Canis lupus familiaris: one gene and its partners. The protein of the gene in region 4 interacts with the protein of the main gene of each other region in a biochemical or structural test. Links are inferred from orthologs where the notes say so. Each region holds a gene or a part of one and is shown on either strand. Other genes may lie near its edges.

The links.
Region 1: the proteins of UBE2K (region 4) and RLIM form a complex in vitro, tested with the Homo sapiens proteins (2 studies listed by BioGRID). The link is inferred for Canis lupus familiaris from reciprocal best matches to the Homo sapiens genes UBE2K and RLIM.
Region 2: the proteins of UBE2K (region 4) and NEDD4L form a complex in vitro, tested with the Homo sapiens proteins (2 studies listed by BioGRID). The link is inferred for Canis lupus familiaris from reciprocal best matches to the Homo sapiens genes UBE2K and NEDD4L.
Region 3: the proteins of UBE2K (region 4) and ANAPC11 form a complex in vitro, tested with the Homo sapiens proteins (3 studies listed by BioGRID). The link is inferred for Canis lupus familiaris from reciprocal best matches to the Homo sapiens genes UBE2K and ANAPC11.
Region 5: of the proteins of UBE2K (region 4) and UBA1, one has a biochemical effect on the other in vitro, tested with the Homo sapiens proteins (9 studies listed by BioGRID, with this or other methods). The link is inferred for Canis lupus familiaris from reciprocal best matches to the Homo sapiens genes UBE2K and UBA1.

Annotation. Positions count from the first base shown.
Region 1 is NC_049260.1:58,047,712-58,051,777, reverse strand, and holds the start of RLIM (E3 ubiquitin-protein ligase RLIM), read left to right. Parts: upstream 1-1,264; 5' UTR 1,265-1,480; intron 1,481-3,262; exon of another isoform or gene 3,263-3,326; intron 3,327-3,760; exon of another isoform or gene 3,761-3,830; intron 3,831-4,066. UniProt on the Homo sapiens protein: E3 ubiquitin-protein ligase.
Region 2 is NC_049222.1:17,786,279-17,789,792, forward strand, and holds part of NEDD4L (E3 ubiquitin-protein ligase NEDD4-like), read right to left. Parts: intron 1,966-3,514; coding exon 1,834-1,965; intron 1,369-1,833; coding exon 1,249-1,368; intron 169-1,248; coding exon 1-168. UniProt on the Homo sapiens protein: E3 ubiquitin-protein ligase that mediates the polyubiquitination of lysine and cysteine residues on target proteins and is thereby implicated in the regulation of various signaling pathways including autophagy, innate immunity or DNA repair.
Region 3 is NC_049230.1:1,219,910-1,223,878, reverse strand, and holds the start of ANAPC11 (anaphase-promoting complex subunit 11), read left to right. Parts: upstream 1-1,167; 5' UTR 1,168-1,313; intron 1,314-1,417; exon of another isoform or gene 1,418-1,875; intron 1,876-2,153; 5' UTR 2,154-2,164; coding exon 2,165-2,273; intron 2,274-3,969. Other genes in the region: ALYREF (THO complex subunit 4), read right to left, coding at 333-464, 785-1,021. UniProt on the Homo sapiens protein: Together with the cullin protein ANAPC2, constitutes the catalytic component of the anaphase promoting complex/cyclosome (APC/C), a cell cycle-regulated E3 ubiquitin ligase that controls progression through mitosis and the G1 phase of the cell cycle.
Region 4 is NC_049224.1:73,290,151-73,293,664, reverse strand, and holds part of UBE2K (ubiquitin-conjugating enzyme E2 K), read left to right. Parts: intron 1-104; coding exon 105-204; intron 205-3,514. UniProt on the Homo sapiens protein: Accepts ubiquitin from the E1 complex and catalyzes its covalent attachment to other proteins. In vitro, in the presence or in the absence of BRCA1-BARD1 E3 ubiquitin-protein ligase complex, catalyzes the synthesis of 'Lys-48'-linked polyubiquitin chains.
Region 5 is NC_049260.1:41,000,366-41,003,879, reverse strand, and holds part of UBA1 (ubiquitin-like modifier-activating enzyme 1), read right to left. Parts: intron 2,366-3,514; coding exon 2,200-2,365; intron 2,055-2,199; coding exon 1,858-2,054; intron 1-1,857. UniProt on the Homo sapiens protein: Catalyzes the first step in ubiquitin conjugation to mark cellular proteins for degradation through the ubiquitin-proteasome system.

The DNA of each region.
Region 1 (4,066 bases), on a different chromosome or scaffold from region 4:
TGGGGAGAGGAGTCATTGAGAAGATGCTTAGTTGATGAGAGCAAAGATATGAAATGAAAATATTGTAGCCTAGGGCAGCCCGGGTGGCTCAGCGGTTTAGCGCCGCCTTCAGCCCAGGGCGTGATCCTGGAGACCCAGGATGGAGTCCCATTTCGGGCTCACTGCACCGAGCCTGCTTCGACCTCTGCCTGTGTCTCTGCCTCTCTCTCCGTGTGTCTCTCATGAATAAATAAAGTCTTAAAAAAAAGAAAATATTCTAGCCTATATATAGTTATAGAGGTGGGAACAAGTTTGGTTTGTTGGAAGAATATTGAGAAAACGTGTAGTGGCAGTGTTATCTGGAAACAGAAAACAAAAAAATGTAAAAAGAAACACAGAAACACCCTAAAAACTTGGACAAGATTGTTTTTTTAAGTTAACTGTGAAAACAGGAATTGGATGCTGTGTGGTCGGTTCCCTAACTTCCTTCAGGCATTAATACCATCTAAGAAAGGCCTTCCTTAACTGTCTTTTTACAAATTCCAACGTTATCAGATTTTCCCATCCTGTTACAATCATCGCCCCTTTTCAAGCATTTCAGAAAATTACCATCTCAGAGAGGCCATCTCTAACCACTCTTTAAAATTGCAATTCCCATTTACCCCCACCCAGCACTCTCCCACCCCACCCCCTTTCCGAATCTTTTTTCTCCCCAGCATTTATCACCGATAGATATAGATATATAGTAATTATTGTCCCTCCCCCAAGTACTAGGAACCATGAGAAAGTAGAATATAAAGAACCGTAAGAACTGGGATTTTGGTCCGTTTTAATTTCCGTTGTATTCCCAACATCTACTACAATGCTTGACATACAGTTGGCACTCGATAAATATATGTTGAATAAAAGGTAAGACGCTGTTCAACTTAGTCTGGACCAATTGTGTGAATTGACGCCAGGTTGGACTAGTATCGCATTTCTCGCTCTCTGAAAAGGGCTTCAAGCAGTCAAGTGGTGACGTTCTTCAGTTTTCAAAAACGGGAGAGCTAAGGTTCCCACAGTTCTCAGAACGCGAATTTCTCGCCACAATTCAAAATGGCGGAGGAGGGTGGGGCCTGTCACATGGTGGGCGTCACAGCAGCTCTCCTTTTCCAGACTGCTGGCCCGCCTTGCCGCGTCGTCTGCTGCCCCCTTCTTCCTCCCGCCGAGCCTTTTCGAGGAATCGCCTGGGATTGGCTAATAGGCTGGGAGTGGGGCTGCAGGGCCGGGACGCGGCATCATCACTTCCTGTTGTGGGCTGTCGTTTCCTGTCGCTGCTTGGTAACAATGGGGAAGATAATGGCTGCCTGAGCAACGTCTCGGAGCAGGCGCTAGGCTAGAGGCGGGTCTCAACCAGCGACTCATCGGAGGCGGGCTTGAGAGCAGCGGCAGGGGAGGCGCGCAGGATCCTCAGCGGCGGCAGCAGCCAAACCGACGGAGTCGGACCCGACACTAAAACCGAGTAAGTGAAGCCTTGGGAAATCCTCTTGAGAAATGGATGGAGAGCGAGGGAAAGACAGCGGAGCTGCAGCTGCCGTGTTCTCTCAAAATGGCCTGAGTCCCGCGTTGTGGCGGACGCTCAGCACCGCCTCCGGACCCCAGGCGCTGATTGCTGCGGGGGGCTCCGTGGCGTAGTCGCCGCTGCCATTTTAGTCACAGTCTCTTGAAGAAGGGGAAGGAGGTGGGTAGTACTTCCTCTCCGTGGCGGTGCGAGCCAAAGCCGGGGGCCCTCCACAGTCTGGAGAAATTGGGGGAGGCGATTTTTGAGTGTTGGCCTCAGGCGTGAGAATCTTTGATAGTCTTAAATTTTTCTCTTTGGTTATCTGGAGGCGTCCCTCGCCTTCCCATCCCCCCTTTTATATGGCGGGCTTGGGTTTGGGAAAAGGGGGAAATATCAGTCTGCTCTAAGTCAGCTGCTGGGAACTCTTGGGCCTTAGATTTCCCAGGATTTGCAAAACCCCATTTTGAGCCCTTTTGCTGGGTACTATCAATTAGGCGCCCCCTGGGGCCACGATGACATCTTCCCTGAGGATCCGGGGCAACTGTGGTTTTGCTCCCTTACTCAATAACCCTGGCATAGCCCTTGCCAGATATCACTGCAAGGATCCCCTGAAAAGGCAGGGAAAAGCCATTGCGTGTTGTTTTTTCCCTGGGTAAGGGTGGGAATTGGGCCAAATGATTTTCAACTTAATTTCCGTTCAATCCGGCAACAACCCAACCCCTCCCCCCTCAAAGAGAAAAGCCTAAGGGTCTCGGCTTTTGCGGGCGGTACCTGCCACGTACGCCATAGCTTTAGTAACTAGTATTAACCGGTTGGGCTTCTGCTTCCTGAATACTCAGTCCCTTTTTCCCTTATGCTGATTAATTTCAAGATGGAGGAGACAGCCACGTTCCTTCCCTAGACAGTTTCCCCATACTTATTCCACAGGTTACTCTGGGAATCTGAGGCCTAGCAGTCTTGTTATTTAGGTCATTCTTTTTGTTTGGGGGCAAGAGGAAGCATTTATATCAGGTTGTCATCCACCATTTGCGAGGTCCCACATTAATTTTTTGGTGCAAATAAAGAGCCCGCATTTCCTCAATCAGAATTAACCGCAGTCGCTTTGGATGATTGAAGGGAGGAAGAAATAAATGTACTATAGTCGTTTCTACTACTAGAAACATGTATTTGATTCTTCCTCATTAAAGACAAAATTACTCATATCACCCTATCAGGTACGTTATGTCCATCCTGAATGACTTGCGACCAGGCAGGCACAATTAGAGCCCTCCAAAAATCAGTTTTCTAGATTATAAAAATAAAGTACCCAGGAAGACCAATCCAGATGCTTTTTAAAGTATGATTTAGGAAACTGTTGCACTGAAAAATGTTTCATTCTTTAGCCTAAGTATCTTGATGATCTTTCATACTTTAGTTTCTCCATAGACTACTGTAATGTGCCAAGTAAGTCCTTGAAAGTATCAGAATCTGAAAATATTACTGGTTTGAAAAAGAAAGGCCTATTTTAAGCAAGCTTATATTAAAAGGTAGATTGGCTTTCAGCCTTTAAAGAAAATCTGATATCTAACACAAGATTCCTGGTTTCCTCTGACCTTCTCCATCTTCCCAAATATCCTAATTAGGTTGGGTTATGGGGTGTGTAACTTAAGATATATAGGATGTGTTTTTTTGAGGATGTGTCTATTTCATAGAAAATGTGTATCTTATGAAAGAGGAAGAATAATGGATTCTTTTTTTTTCTAGAGCAGAGAGTGAAGAAAACTAAAATCCAGTTTATTGTATTACAATACTATGTCATAACAGTCAGGTAATTTATTTTTTGTTGCGTCTCCTGATGATTTATGTGTAGAATGCATGTTTAAAAATATTTATTTTGTATTGCAGGCCCTGTAATTGGATGGGCTTATTTGATATATGTTTATTGGTGTTGGGCATTTTTCATAATGAGAATGGGTATTTTTCATTGGGAATTCAAAGGGTAGTGTGTCTGAATAACTGAAACTCTGCTAGTGTTTATCTGTGAATTTTCCTCTTTTAAAATAATGTCTGAAGTTTACCAGTACCCATATAAAACAGAAAGAACAAAATAGAAATTTGCTGCTTTAAATCATTGTTGGTGGGATGGGTCTAAATAAATAGCGTTTAAATGTTCATTGAATAACTAAATGAAATATCAGTAGAATATCTTGCAGGAATGTAATCTTACATTATTTTGTGTGGTGTTCATTTTTTTCCTTTAAGATCCAAAATGTCATAATTAATATATAATACTCTGATATTAACTCCTTTCATCATCATCATCATTGTTAAGGTAAGCACATAATTTATTGCCTTAACCAGGATGCTTTTTTTATGCCAACAGGTGCAAACCTGTATTGTGCCAAGCAAACGGGGATGGAGTTAGCCTAAATTCATAACTAACTTGAATGCTTATGTGCTGTGTCCTGTGCTTCACATGCATGACTTTATAATCTTCACAGCAAAGCCTTGTGAGGATATTAGCTGTTTTACCTAGTTAACTGAGACTCAAGGAAGTTAAACATTTTG
Region 2 (3,514 bases), on a different chromosome or scaffold from region 4:
GAAGAAGGGCCGGCCGTTGGGCGCTATCCTCATTTCCCAGCCGGGCGGCAGGAAGCTCTGTGTGACTTTGTGTTGTGGTTTGGGGGAGTTGTAAGGTGATGGCTGTGGGGACTGTGGATTGGAAAGGGTATCTTTCACAGCCCGACGTATGGGCGAATCCTTGGCACCCTAAGGAATAATAACGAGCATTAGAACTCTTACCAGCTGCTATTCCGGGGGGAGGGTCAAAATGTACCTGGGTACACAGGGACACTGCTCTCTGAAGAGGTACAAGGGAGAAGCTCTAAAACCCGTTTCTGTCATTCATCTACTTTTCAACCCATCTAACTTTAAAGTTTTCTGGTTGGTTAAACACATGACAATATTAAGTACTTATACCCAAGGTCCGTGGACAGCTATTCAGTGCGCACCCCAAGTATTGTTCTGTATTGAACGTTACGGATGGAAATTTTACAGAGGGTGGAGAAACACATGCCCCTGCTCTTAATGAGCTCACAGTCTAATGAAGAAGGGGTTGGCAATTTTTAGAGCACAGAAAGCAAAACCCGTACCAACAGAGACAGCCGTCCGGACCAGCAGGTTGCTACCCCCCGGCACTCCCATCCCAGTTTGGAACAGACCCCATCGGCTCCCAGCCAGCAGCATCGCAGACCCAGGGAACGGGCCCGCAGCTAGGTCTGAGACACCGTCAAGCTCAGAACTTCACACACTTGCTCTCTGGCTTCTCTAACTCTGACGTTTGTGATGCGAAGGGATGGCAACAACACCACACAAACAGAAGGCACCCGCAGATGCCCCGCAATGGCTTCGAGATGTGCGTGTGCATCAGAAACACATATGCCCGCACGGTGACAGGCCCTACCGTCGAAAGGAAAAGAAAAATGATCAAAGCGACAGCTATGTTTGGAAACGCAACGTAAGCATTGGTATCGGCAAGAGTTCGTGTGCAAGTCAAGAGCGAAACACAAGGAGAGATGGAGAGTGTCCGGCAGAGGGGCGCCCCCTTCGGGCACAAGGAGCCGCGGGGGCAGCCGAATGAGAATGGGGATCAGAGGGGGGCAGTCCACGGGTGCGAGCCGGGCGGCACAGAGAAGCATGAAGGAAGGCTGCACGACAACACCACGACCCATCAGAGAGAGAGGGGAGGGGGGGACAGGGGGCTGCAACCACTCAAACCCAAGTAAGATGAGCAAGGAGATGAGAAGTCCCGGGAGGGGGTGAGCCGGTGAGCCGATGAGGCCTTCTCACCTCCAGTGGGGCAGATAAGGTTACGGTCGGCGAGCTGAGGCTACGGGGCCGGCGGATCTGAGGCTCGATTAGGTGGTTGTTACTGTTTGTGGCGGATCCGGACGCACCGTCTTCGGCGAGCTATTTCGGAGGCAAAAACAAGTTAGCTTGGCAGGAGGAGGACTCCTGTGCGAGTGATGAGGAGCGTGGACCCAAACAACGTAAGCCAGCAATAATAAGAGGGCTGGCCTATTTCAAGCGTGGAGGAAAATGATTAAACATAATAATGGGGGCAACGATCGAGAAGTACAGTCAAAGGAAATAGAAATGAATCACTAGCCCAGCGTAAACGCCAGCCTCAGAAATCAAGGGAGAGAAGCTCCACCCTGGGACGGGCTCCCTAAACCGTGTCTAGGGGTGGACTGGCTTGAGGACCGAATTCTTCCTCCGGCAAATACTAGGCTTAGAGTTCCCATCTTCTCTGTGAGAAACATGATCTTAAACACGGGTTCTTTCAGAACAATACATTCACCTCGGGAGCACCGAGCTCACATACGTTTGGGCTTCTACAGCCTGTGATTTTAGGTTGTAGGACGATCTGCGTACCTGCATGATAGGTCGAGTCCAAGTTGTGGTTCGATTGTTATGATTGACATAGTATGTGCGTCCCTTAGCATCTTTTCTTTCTTCCCAGCCTGAAGGTAGGCCCGGCGTGGTGTGTGCATAGGCCACTGATGGCTGTTTGTGTAAGAAATCATTATTATTTAATATCCTGCATTTTCTTTTTGATCAGTTTAATAAAAGTAATGTACACGCAGAGAGTTACTAGACCAGGTAACTTAATTTTACTTGTACCAAAAACATTAGCGTCTGGAAAAAAGGCAATTGATTTCCAACGGCTTCCAATCTACTGTGAGATGACCCCCACACAGCCACAAGGTCCAAGATCTTCTAAGTCAGTGGTAAAACCCTGAAGTCTTAAACATAAAGGGTCGTGGCTAACATGATCCTAAGAGAAACGTACAATCTGTTTCAGTTACTAGATTTTGCTGTCAAGCCACAGAGAGTTTCAAGGTATTTTAAACTGTCCAATGTCACCAAGAGAGGGATGCTTTGAATAGTTTTTTCCTCAATAGAGTTGCCACAGAGATGCTCTCCTAACTCCCAAAGTCTTCCTCAGCTTAGAGCCCTTCCACTACAGCTTTCAGGGAGGAAAAAAAAAATACAGTCTCCTCTCTAGGACGGCTGTATTCGCGCCAGGGCACACGGTCATGAGGACCGACCAGGACAGCTCAGCGGCCCCAGTCGGGAAGCCACTGGGCAACGTGAGGTCAGAATTCCAGAAGAACACGCAGTTCGTGGGTTTGAGACATGTTCAGTATAGGGCGACTGGATCTGCAAAGTCCAAATTAGATTGCAGAAGGATTCCTGGGACACTTTTGCTTGTAGGGGGCAGTCTGAGAAATGCGGTCTGGGTGGAGAAACACTGGACCAGCAAGCGTGTTTCAGTGACTCAGAAGACAAGGAGACGGACGTCTGAGGTCCGTGCTGTCCCGAGAAGTGCTGGGCATGTGGACGCTGCATATAAGATCTGTAACTGAGAAAAGGGCGCTACCCCTACCCTCAGGGCGGGGACTCAGAATTACAAGCCAACTATGGCCACCAAGGCTCCTGGGAGAATGTAAAAGCAGCGAGAGGCCACACCTCAGGAATAATCTCTTACACGAGGTGACAAAAGGAAGCCACTTCTTTTGGGGCAACAGGCTTCCCTAATTAGGATCTTGTGAGCCTCCAGGTGGTTGACCAGGTGGATGTCAGGGCGAGGATGTCAATCTCTGAGCCCAACTCCTCTGTGTGCGCCCTGTCTTTGACAGTCACCACCAAGACTGTGCTGGGGCAAGGAGGCCACAGAGCGCCCCCTGGTCTCCTGCAGGATCGAGAACTAGAAAAAGCACGCTTAACCATCCTGCCATGTAATTTGGGGACTTCAGTTAATGAGGCTCAATACTCTACCCCATAAGCTAGATAGCACGTTCCAGAGAGAAACTGAGCCACGGAGCAGCTGCCTCAACGGTTATTTCTAACACATTCACCATGCCCTGCAAGACTATTTGTAAGAGGACTTTCTGCTAAAACGACAGTAACTATTTTCTTGATGGTTTTCCAGATTAAGTCCCGAAGGCCCTGAAATGGGAATTCCAAGACTGAGAGACCCTATGGGCTCTGGATCTAGGTGTGAGGCCACTACAGGAGCGGAACGGACCTGGACATGCAGGCCTGATCCTTC
Region 3 (3,969 bases), on a different chromosome or scaffold from region 4:
CAGGAACAGAAACCGCTCAGGTTAGGTCGAGGTTTCCCGCCAGGAGCGAGGGCTCCGGCAGGGGGTTTGCGCCCCCGCGCGGGGCACGACTCAGGAAGAGCGGCAGCTCGTCCCGCTAGGCCGGGCCCGACCTCCGACACCCCGACCTGCCGGCCGCACTTCCCGGGCCAGGACCTCCGCTCTGCACTCCTGCAGCCCTTAGAGGGCCGGCGGCTGCCCCTGGGCCCCTAGGGCTCCCCGCCCTAAGGTGCGGCGCGGGCGGTTCAGGCCGCGTCCTCAACGGGGCCACCGGGTGCGGGTGACCCGCTCACCGACGAACGCCCGCCCCTCACCTGAATATCCGCGTCCGACACTCCGAAATCCAGGTTGGACACCAGCAGTTTCCCACCCGTCTCCACGCCGGCGCCGCCCCCGAAGCCGCTGTCGAAGAGATCGTGCTGCCACTTGTCGGGAAGTTGTTTCGGCTGCGGGGGGAGGAGAGCACAGGAGCACGCGGCCCGTGAGCGTCTCCCGCGGACCCTGCGGCGCCCGCACGCCCCCGCCCGCCGTCCCCCCGGCGTCCCGGGCGCCGCCGCTCCCTCCGACCCGCTTCCCGCCGCCTGCGCGGCCGCGCCCAACGCCCGCCGCCGCCACGAGGCCCAGCGCCCGGCCCAGACAAAGGCCCGGAGGGTCTCCGCCGCCCCGGGCGGCCGCCGCGCGCCCCCCCGCCCGCCCGGCCCGAGCCCCCCGGCCCGCCGCCCGCGCCCCCGCGCGCCCCCGCCCGCCGGCCCGCCGCCCCGCTCACCCTGCTGTAGGGCGCCGGCCGGTTCCTGCCGCCGCCGCCCGCCGCGCCGCGGGCGAGGGCCGGTCGGTTCCGGATGGGCCCGCCGCCCCGGCTCACTCGCGCGGCGGCCTGCGCCCCGCCACCGCGGCCGCCCTGGGAGCCGGCCCGGCCGCGGCCCCGACCTCCGCCGCGGCCGCCTCGCTGGCTCCGGTTCAGCTTGATGATGTCGTCCAGAGACATGTCCATTTTGTCGGCCATGGCGGGCGCGGAGTCGGCCTCGGCTCGAGCCCGCGCGTCAGCACGTCGGCGCGTCACTTCCGGGGCCGCGCGCGGCCTGCCGGGACCGAGGCCGGGGCCGCCGGGGATTGGCCGCGGCGGGCGGGAGCGAGGGCGGGCAGGGCGGGCGGGAGCGGGGGCGCGTGCGCCGGACGGCGGGCTCGGCGGGCGCAGCTGAGGTGCCGGCGGCGGCCGCGGCCGCTTTTATACCTTCCCACGCGGGCGCCGCCGACGGAAGGCGGGGTCGGCGCGCGGAGGCCGGCGGGGGGCGCAGGTGGGCGGGGCCGCGGGGCGGGGCGGGCGGCTCCCCTCCCCTCCCCCCCCCCTCCCCGCGCCCCGGCCTCGCGCCCTCCCCGCGCTCCCGCACCTCCCCCACCACTTCCTGCGCCTCCCTCCGCACCCCTGCGTCTCCCCTGCCCTCTCCCCGCACCCCGGCGCCTTCCCTACCCCCTTCAGGCACCCCCGCTCCTTACCCCACCCTCTCCCCACACCCCTACCCCTTCCCCTACTCTTTGCTCGCACCCCTGCGCCTTCCGCTCCGCCCTTCCCCCCCCACCGCTTCCCCACATCCCACTCTCCACACACCCTGGTCCCTCCCTGCACCTCACTTTCTCCTGGCCTCTGCGCACTCCTTCTGCATGCTCCTGCCCTCACCCCTTCCCCCGCAACCCCGGGTCCTGCCCGGCACCCCCCACTCTGCACCCTCACCCTGGGGTGGTGGCGCAGGCCTAGTGGGCTGGGTGGTGGTTCCCTGGCGTGAACTCGTGGTCACCTGGGTTGGGGTCTCTATTTGTCAACCCCGATTTAGTCGTATCTCTTTGAAAAAAACCCGTATGGTACGTTTTTGGAATTACTGGCGAAGCCCATGTGCCCTTTTGGGGACGCAGGGCGGACCCTGCAGTCTTCGCCGATAACTCTGGCTCTGGGGCGCGCTGTTCTCCCAAGGGTGGCCCGGGCCCTGCCATTGCCGCTGGTGCAGAGCTCTCAGGGTTTCTGAGCTCTGGCAGCAGGTCCGGCCCCGGCTGACCCTCGGCTGGGAGCCGCGCCCCTTGGGTGCCTAGATGGGTAGCTGTGCAGACTGAGTGTGGCCCGGCGATGTCTCCTCCCCCTGTAGGCTCCGCGGCCATGAAGGTGAAGATCAAGTGCTGGAACGGCGTGGCTACTTGGCTCTGGGTGGCCAACGACGAGAACTGTGGCATCTGCCGGATGGCCTTTAATGGCTGCTGCCCAGACTGTGAGTGTGCCCTGTGCTCCCTCCCCCTCGAGCTTTGCCTGCGGGCCTGGCCAGGGCATCTCCTCGGAAACACCTGCGCAAGGTGCTTGGGTTTTGGGGTCACTCTGCTCAACACAAGCTGACAGAAGAAAGGCAGGTGGTTTGGGCCCATGATTGTGTGAGGAGCCCATGGAAAGTTCTGTAAGAGAGGGCCGTGTGGCTTTTTACTGTGCTCACAGTCAGCCGTGACGCCCGTGGGCCGGGGGACGCTGGAGCGCCACGGGACGATTCTCCAGCGGGCACGCAGGCTGTCGTGGGGGTGCCCGTCCCCTCGGCCAGCGCCCACCGTCGCTGCTAAGCGCTGCTAAGGGCTGTGTTCACGTCCTGGCTTGGAAGTGGCTTCTGGGGCCCGGCTCCCCTCCAGCCCAGTCACTAAGTGTAGCACTGTCACACCGGACGTGACGATAAGCCCTCAGTGTCCCCCCATTCCTGGTGCTTGCTCACGTTGTCTCAGGTGTCCGTGCGTGTGCTCGCTCAGCCCTGCCCTGGCTGTTGAACGTGAATATAGAACAGGCGCTTCCATTCCTCTCCCTCGTTTTTCAAGGCATCTGACCTTTCAGCAAAGTGGTTGTGTCACGCCACAGAGTGCCCACCGCCAGGTTTTATCAGACCTCTCTGGTGGTTTTTGTCTCACCTCTGTCCCATCACGTTCTGGTGAAGTAGAAATGCTTGAGTGTATTTTCTTTTTTTATTTTTGCTTGAGTGTATTTTTAAGTCAAAAACAGGCTTTTGCATCAGCGAATTGTGTTTTTAGCCAAACCAAAGTGAACTTAAGCAGAAGCAGGTTGACCCTTGGGGGGACAGGGGCAGTCCCAAGAGGAAAATGAGACCTGGGGGGACTGAGGGGCCCCTCTGGCCTGTAAGTGACCAGGCTTTTTGTGGGGTCAGGAGAGCGCCCAGAATAACCGGGGTTATTCTTACAGTGAAATTCAAATTATTGAGTTTTAGTGCAAATACTATTTTGTTATGGCCTTGATCTTTACTTTGGCCGAGAGAAAATCTCATCTCCCAGGACTTAATCCATCCTGATTGAATCAGTCAGGTGGGATGTGACCGTAGGAAGTCACTGATTGGCTCTACTTGATTAAGTTTTACTTAGCAGTAAAGCTCACGATCTGGTTTTACTGATTCTGTTTTAATCACTCTCAGGTGCGTCCTTAGGGACACAGCAGAGGCAGTGGGAGCCTGCAGGGGCGCACACTTGCAGCTTCTTGAGCCACAGATTGTTAGCTTCTGGAAAGAGAAGTCTTGGAAAGCATTGCCCTAGACTGGACGTGGGAGCGTGAGCGGTGTGTTGGCGTTGGCGCGGAGCCTGCGGAGCCCAGCTTGTGCCGTTGCAGCTGGGCCTGTGGCTGGCATACCTGTGTTTGCCGGAGTGCTCAGGTCTTGTGGAAGGGGACCCGTTGGCTGAGAGTAGGGGGCTTGGAGCCTCATCTTCAGAGCCAATCCTACCGTGCAGAGTGTGTGACGAGCCTTTATACAGGTGAAGTGACACTGGGTTCCTCTTGCTAAAATTGAGTTCTTGTGAAATACCCTGAGTGACTAAGACTAATAATCTGCTCCCAGGCCCAGAGGGCTTTGGGAGTAAGTCTTCTCGAGAGGTGTTTTCTTTACTAAAGATTTCCATCGAGAGGCAAACAAGCCCTTGGGTGAGTCA
Region 4 (3,514 bases):
CTAGATTATTTTTAGCTCCAGTAGTTTTTATATTCAGAAAATCACTTAACTTTTGTCACGCTGCATGTTCTTAACTGAGATGTTTTCTTGTTTTGTTTTTTTAGGGCTGCAGCAATGACTCTCCGCACGGTATTATTGTCATTGCAAGCCCTTTTGGCAGCTGCAGAACCGGATGATCCACAAGATGCAGTAGTAGCAAATCAGGTAAGACTTGCTTGTACTTACCTATGAATTTCTACTACTGTAGTGATTTGCAGTGTTAACACATGAGCATAGTTCTATTTAGAAAGACTAAATTTGGAAATGGTTTTCTTTCTCATGGTAAGATTATTTTGTCAGATGTAATAGCGAAAACCTACTGATTTTTAATACACTACTTTGAGTATATGATGCTTTTTAAAAAACTTAATGGAAATTTTCAAACACAATGTCAAAATATTTATATAGTGAATACGCATATTCCTACCTGCATCTGGATTCTGTGATTAGCATTTTACTATACGTGCTTTATCATGTGCGTATCTATCCATCCCTCCATTTAGTGATAATCCTTCCCTGGTAATTTTAACCAGCTCTTGCTGTGACTGAAGTGGCATAGTGTAAAAGTTACCAAGGATCTTAAAATTGCCAGATGGAATAAATATTTTTTAGTTTTGATCTTTCAGTTGATGTGATCTCCAAGGCAGAGGTCCGCAAATTACACCTAGAGTTATTGTTTTTGTAAATAATGTTTTATTGGAATACAGCCACATCCATTTGTTTACTTATCTGGTCCTGTGAGAAACCCTGTTCTACGCCATTAGGATTTACTGAGCTTTTTTTTTTGTCCCCCACTTGGAATTTTTTTCTTCTCTTAACTTCTAACATACTACTCTCTTCTCATCTTGGTAGTTGTAGTTATTCCTTCTTAGTTCCTACAATTATTTCTTTTCTTCCTTCTAAAAAGAGTTCCTTGGTTTAGACATCATTCCTTTTACTTTTACTGTTGTATATGGTCACATGGATGATCATATCTACACTGATACTATCACCTGTAAGTTGAGAAAATGTTTAGGCATTACCTCTCCTTGAGTGCAAGAGCCTGTTCAGAACTGGATAGTTATATATGTTTCATGGATACCTCAGCATAGCATTCCCAAAACTGAATGTAGAATCTTAAATCCTCAGGGCAGCGCGGGTGGCTCAGTGGTTTAGTGCCGACTTCAGCCCAGAGCGTGGTCCTGGAGACCTGGGATCGAGTCCCACATCAGCTCCCTGTATGGAGCCTACTTCTCCCTCTGCTTATGTCTGTGCCTCTCTCTCTCTCCGTGTCTCTCATGAATAAATAATCTTAAAAAAAAAATCTTAAATCCTGCAAACGTGACCATCCTTCTATGATACCATCGCCTATTTAGTTAAGTATCCAAGCCACAGACTTGAAATTCTCTGTGCCTTCTTTTCTCTTGGTGATTCCATTCCCAATATCTCTCATACTTCTCTGATCGGCCTTAGTTCACATTTTAAAAAATGTCTTAGTTCAACTGCTCTGATAGCTGTCCCTTCCTTCATCTACTTGATAGCAGTGAGCTTTTTAAAGTAGAAATCTTACTTTACTACTAAAAACTTATTAGAAGCTCGGATATCACCTACTTGGTAAATCCAGATTCTTTGGTTTGCAGAGTTTTTCCATGATTTAACTGTCCACAAAACCAGCTTCATCTCCTAAATTCTTATTATTCCTCGGACTCCCGTTTTTTATGGACTCCTGCTTTTTTTAAGATGTCATTCATTTCTACCCGTCAGTTCACCTGGTCTGCTATGTTTCCTCTGCCTGGTTCCTATTAATAAACCTGTTCCTTTCCCTTGAAAAGCTGTTTGCTCTGGGGTACCTGGGTGGCTCAGAGTTGAGCATCTGCCTTTGGCTCAGGTCGTGATCCTGGGCCCTGGGATCGAGTCCTGTATCAGGCTAGCCTCTCTCTCTTCCTCTCTCTCTCTCTCTCTCCCCCTCCCTCTCTCTCTCTCTCTCTCTCTCGAATGAATAATTAAGATCTGAAAAAAAAAATCTGTTCACTCCTTATTTTCTGTATATCCTTATTAATATAATGTTTGTTTCAGAGTGCTTAGAATTAGGGTTTTACATGCTATATATATGTGCTGTTCGTTCGCTTTTGGTAGTCGGCATGGCTTGAAGTCTCAACTTTGATTTCCTGTGGAGTTATGAGCCTCAAGGGCTGAGGCTGGACATGGAACTTTCTCCAGCTCCTAGAACAGTTCAATAATTTGACATATTTCCTTGTTTAGAATTCGCAAGAATTCTTAATACAAGTAGAAACTAGATGTATTATTTTAATATATAATAGAAGCATATCAGTCTTAGAATACTCAATACATATAATTTTACTTATTTTTCAAAAGATTTTACTTATTTTATTCATGAGAGAGACAGAGAGAGGCAGAGACATAGGCAGAGGGAGAAGCAGGCTCCCTGCAAGGGATGCCAGCACTCCAGAATCAGGCCCTGAGCCGAAGGCAGATGCTCAACCACTGAGCCACCCAGGCATCCCCATGTAAAGTACTTTTAAAAGGAATACTAAAGTGAATTGAACAGTTACTTTAAATGTATATACTTCCATTATTAAGTAATGTTGGTTCCAAAGTATTTAAGAATAAATTTATCTGGGCAGCCTGGGTGGCTCAGCGGTTTGGTGCCACCTTCAGCCCAGGGTGTGATCCTGGAGACCCAGGATCAAGTCCCACGTCAAGCTCCCTGCATGGAGCCTGCTTCTCCCTCTGCCTATGTCTCTGCCTCTCTCTCTCTTTCTCTGTATCTCTCATGAATAAATAAGTAAAATCTTTTAAAAAAACTAAAAGTACTGTATGGTGGGTTCATAAACATCTCAAAACATGGTATAAATTAAAATACTGCATATTAGGGCATCTGGTTGACTGACTCAGTCTGTGGAGCATGCAACTCTTGATCTCAGGATTGTAAGTTTGAGCTCCATGATGGGTGCAGAGATTACTTAAAAATCTTGTTTTTTCCTTTAAGTTGGCTCCATGCCCAACATTGAGCCAGAACTCAAAACCCCAAGTAAAAGAGTTGCATGCTTTACCTCTGAGCCAGCCAGGTGCCCCCAGAATAAAATCTTTCTTAAAAAGCCTTTGCACATGGTATTTTCTTGAATCACTGTATATTAATACAGTTTCAGCAAAATAGCAAAGTCCACTTGTATTCTATTCTGAGCTGTGGTTAATATGAAAGTTGGTTTGCCTGGGTGGCTCAGTGGTTGAGAGTCTGCCTTCAGCTTTGGGGCATAATCCTGGGGTCCGGGATTGAGTTCTGCATCGGGCTCCTGCATGGAGCCTGCTTCTCCCTCTGCCTGTGTCTCTGCCTCTCTCTCTTTCTCTCTTGTCTCTCTCATGAATAAATAAATTTAAAAATATATATATGAAAGTTGGTCACATTTGTTACTGTCCCTACAATTTTAGAAGCAGATAATTCTCTTTGGTTGTATAATGTTTCACACTTTGCAGT
Region 5 (3,514 bases), on a different chromosome or scaffold from region 4:
CCCACGTCAGGCTCCCGGTGCATGGAGCCTGCTTCTCCCTCTGCCTGTGTCTCTGCCTCTCTCTCTCTCTCTCTGTGACTATCATAAATAAATAAAAATTAAAAGACTGTCCGTAAATAAACCCAGTTAGAAGAACACCGCTGCTCTGAGCAAAGAGAAACCTTCCGCCCCTGCTCCCCCATCTTCCCCACACCCCCAGTGCCTCAATTTAAAAACGAATGAACTTGATTTGGGCCACGGAATAAAATTATTAAGGATTTGTGTACCTCACTAGAGATCCATTATGTCTCGATTAAAAAAAAACAACAAAAACCAAACTTTTAGCTATGTATATTTTACCAGTTTTAAAAAAGAAAAAAACCATCAGACCCAAATCAAAAATGATTGCCATACAGGCCCTGGGGCTGAGCAGTAAACCAGACACTCTGTAAATTCCTAAGGAATTCCTGTACTCTGAAAATTCCTAAAGACAGTAAATGCATTCACTGGTGGAAGGCTGGGAGGAGAGGACATCTAGGTTCAAACCCCAGCTCTCCTACCTAGTATCTAGTTTTGGGACTTTAGAAACACACAGCAACACTTACCTTTGCATTCTCCTTCCTAAAACAGATATCGTTACCAGTAATACCTATCATGAGGTGGGCTTGCAAAGAAATGAGCAAGGATGTATCCACTCAAAAATTCGCTTAAACAGCACCAAATACAAGTAAATGCCAAGTGCTTCGCAACCATGAGACTGACAATGCTGTCAGCCCCGTTTCACAGAAGAGTCAGGCACGATGAGGTAGAATCCAAAGTCACACACGGCTCAGTGAGACCATGGAGGGCCCACAAATATGAACGTGCATACTCTGGAACTACAGGCAGAAAGGAAGGTGGCCGAGGAAGCCAGTTTTGCCCTGTTTGGATCTCGCCAACCCCCCCCTTGCTCCTAACTGAACACTCTGAATGGTTTGTTCTCGAAGACTACAGTCACTCTGATAGCACAATCGTTATCCTCAGGTCACCCTTAGGTTCTCCTTCGTGGCCCTGGTATACCAGTTACATAGGTGCGTTCACTTTATCAAGACTCAGCCTGGTGAGAGGTGCACAGGATCATCCTGAGAAACTAGCTGTTGAAGCCATTCTGAGCATCACCTGGTGACACGTGAAGAAGAACTAAAACATTAAAGACCTAAATAACTGCAGGAGGTAATCACCAGTAATTTTGTTCAGCGTGCAAGCAGGATTTGGGTTAGATAGCAGTGGTCCTCACCTGGGAGCGATTTTGCCCCCTGGAGGAGTGGGGGGATATCTGACAATGTCTGGAGACCTTGTGAGTAGCCGCAACCGCACCCTCCTGCAGCCAGGGATGCCGCTAAGCACTAGACAGTGCAGAAGCCACCCACCCACCCATCCACCCTGCACTGGCAAGGAAATACCTGGCCCCCAATGTCAACAATGCCGAGGTCGAAGAGACCCTGTTAGGCAGAACATACTTCCCTCACAGATGCCTGTTAGAATGTTAAGGAGTTAAGTGTTGTGATACCTATGAGACACTTCAGCACAAAGAAGGAAAGATATGGCAATCTAAGAAGAAAATGTGTCAAAACATTAACTATTACATCTAGGTGACGAACGCTGAGTGTTCACCATACCGCTCTTTGTCTTTCTGTGTTGAAAACTTTTCAAAATGAAAGATGAATGAAATCGCTCTAGAAACCCAGGCTGTTGGGATGGGAAGCGAGGGAGGAAAGTTTGGAGAGAAAGCACATCTTGAGCTTTGGCTGGTGACACCGGAGGGGGAGGGGGCCTAGTTGCCATGAAGGTGCCTGCTCCCTCCCCTCCCTGCCCCTTCCCCCCAAAAAAGCTGATCACCTGCAGAGTGTGCTCGATGGCGTTGGGGAAGTTCTTCAGGGTGCAGATGGGGATGGACTTCTCAGGCGGATCCTGGCTAGAGCTGTAGGACTCTGTCAGAAAGGGGATCACCACCTGCACGTTGCCCTTGGTACCCAGTGTGCCAGACTCCAGTAGCGGCTTGCGGTAGTACACACAACGGCGGTCCATGTACATGCCTAAGGAGGATAGGGTGTGTGTGTGTGGGGGGGGCACATGTGTCAGGACAGGAATGTCAACAGAGGATGGAAAGACAGGCATCCCTGATGGCACACATGCACACCACCTCCCCCCGCCCACCTCCTCACCCGCCTCCAAACTCACGGGCATCCACGTTGTCAAGGGCATTGGCCACACCATCCAGGTTTTGGAAGAAATCATCATCATAGATGCGTTCTGTGTCAGGGCCCACACGGTTCTGGTGGCTTGTCACCCGGATGTGCGGATTCATCTGGCGCACAGCTGCAGCGGCTGTGTCAGACTTTAACTTCTAAGGGGGATAAGGGTGGGACAGGGAAACACAGAACTCAGTTATTCATGCATTCACCCAACAAACCTCTACAGGGCCATCCTCCTAAAAATGGGTTTACTTAATGCCTGGGAAAAACCAGGCTCTGAGTTCAGAAGGCTCCCTGATTTAGCAGGAAATAGTCTGTGACAGTACCACATGGCTAGGGCTGTGACAGTAGTGGCAGGGGCTCAGTGGAAAGCGAAGCAATGAACAAATGTAGACGAGAAGCAAGAGGCCACCATCTGTTTCTATGACTACCCAACACCTATTGTTCTTTCCGGTAATAGCACCCAGGCCTGGGGTCCATCCTCTCAAACAAAACAGGATCTTTCCAAAGCCTAGGTCAGTCACATCCCTCCTCTGCTCAAAACCCTCCTCTGGCTTCCCCCTCCACAGAGGAGAAAATGAGTTAGCCCCTACTTCCTCTAGCTCATCTCCTACATCCCACCCCGCCAACAGGATCCTGGCCTAGGGTGCTCTGAACCCAGAAAAGGGGTCTCTACTCCCTTCTACCCTCCAGGTGTGCAGGACTGAGCCCTTTCCTAACCATTATAATCGAAACTGCCAACCTGTCTTCCAGACAGGCCCAACTTCCCTTAGCTTGCTTTGGTTGTTTCCTTTGCACAGCACTCATCAACATTAACTACAAATTTATTATACTGTATTGCTTGCTTATGGTCTGTCCTCCCTCCTTAGAACCTGTGTTTCCTTGCTGTATCCCAAGTGCCGAAAGCGGTGCCTAGGCCAATGACTACCGATGACATCACTGAATGGAAAGGAGAACATCTTTAAAAAAAAAAAAAAAAAGGGCAGCCCGGGTGGCTCAGCAGTTTAGTGAGTTTAGTGCCATCTTCGGCCCAGGGCCTGATCCTGGAGACCTGGGATAGAGTCCCAAGTCAGGTTCCCTGCATGGAGCCTGCTTCTCCCTCTGCCTGTGTCTCTGCCTCTCTCTGTGTCTCTCATGAATAAACAAAATCTTTAAAAAAAAAAAAAAAAAGAAAAAAGAAAGGGGAACAGATCCCAGGCAGGCAAACAGGGCACTGTCCCCCATAGAAGGCTTCCCAGCTCGAGCCCCTGAATGACCTAGACTCCATCTGGCAGAGAAGAGTGACCCTAACACAAACGTTC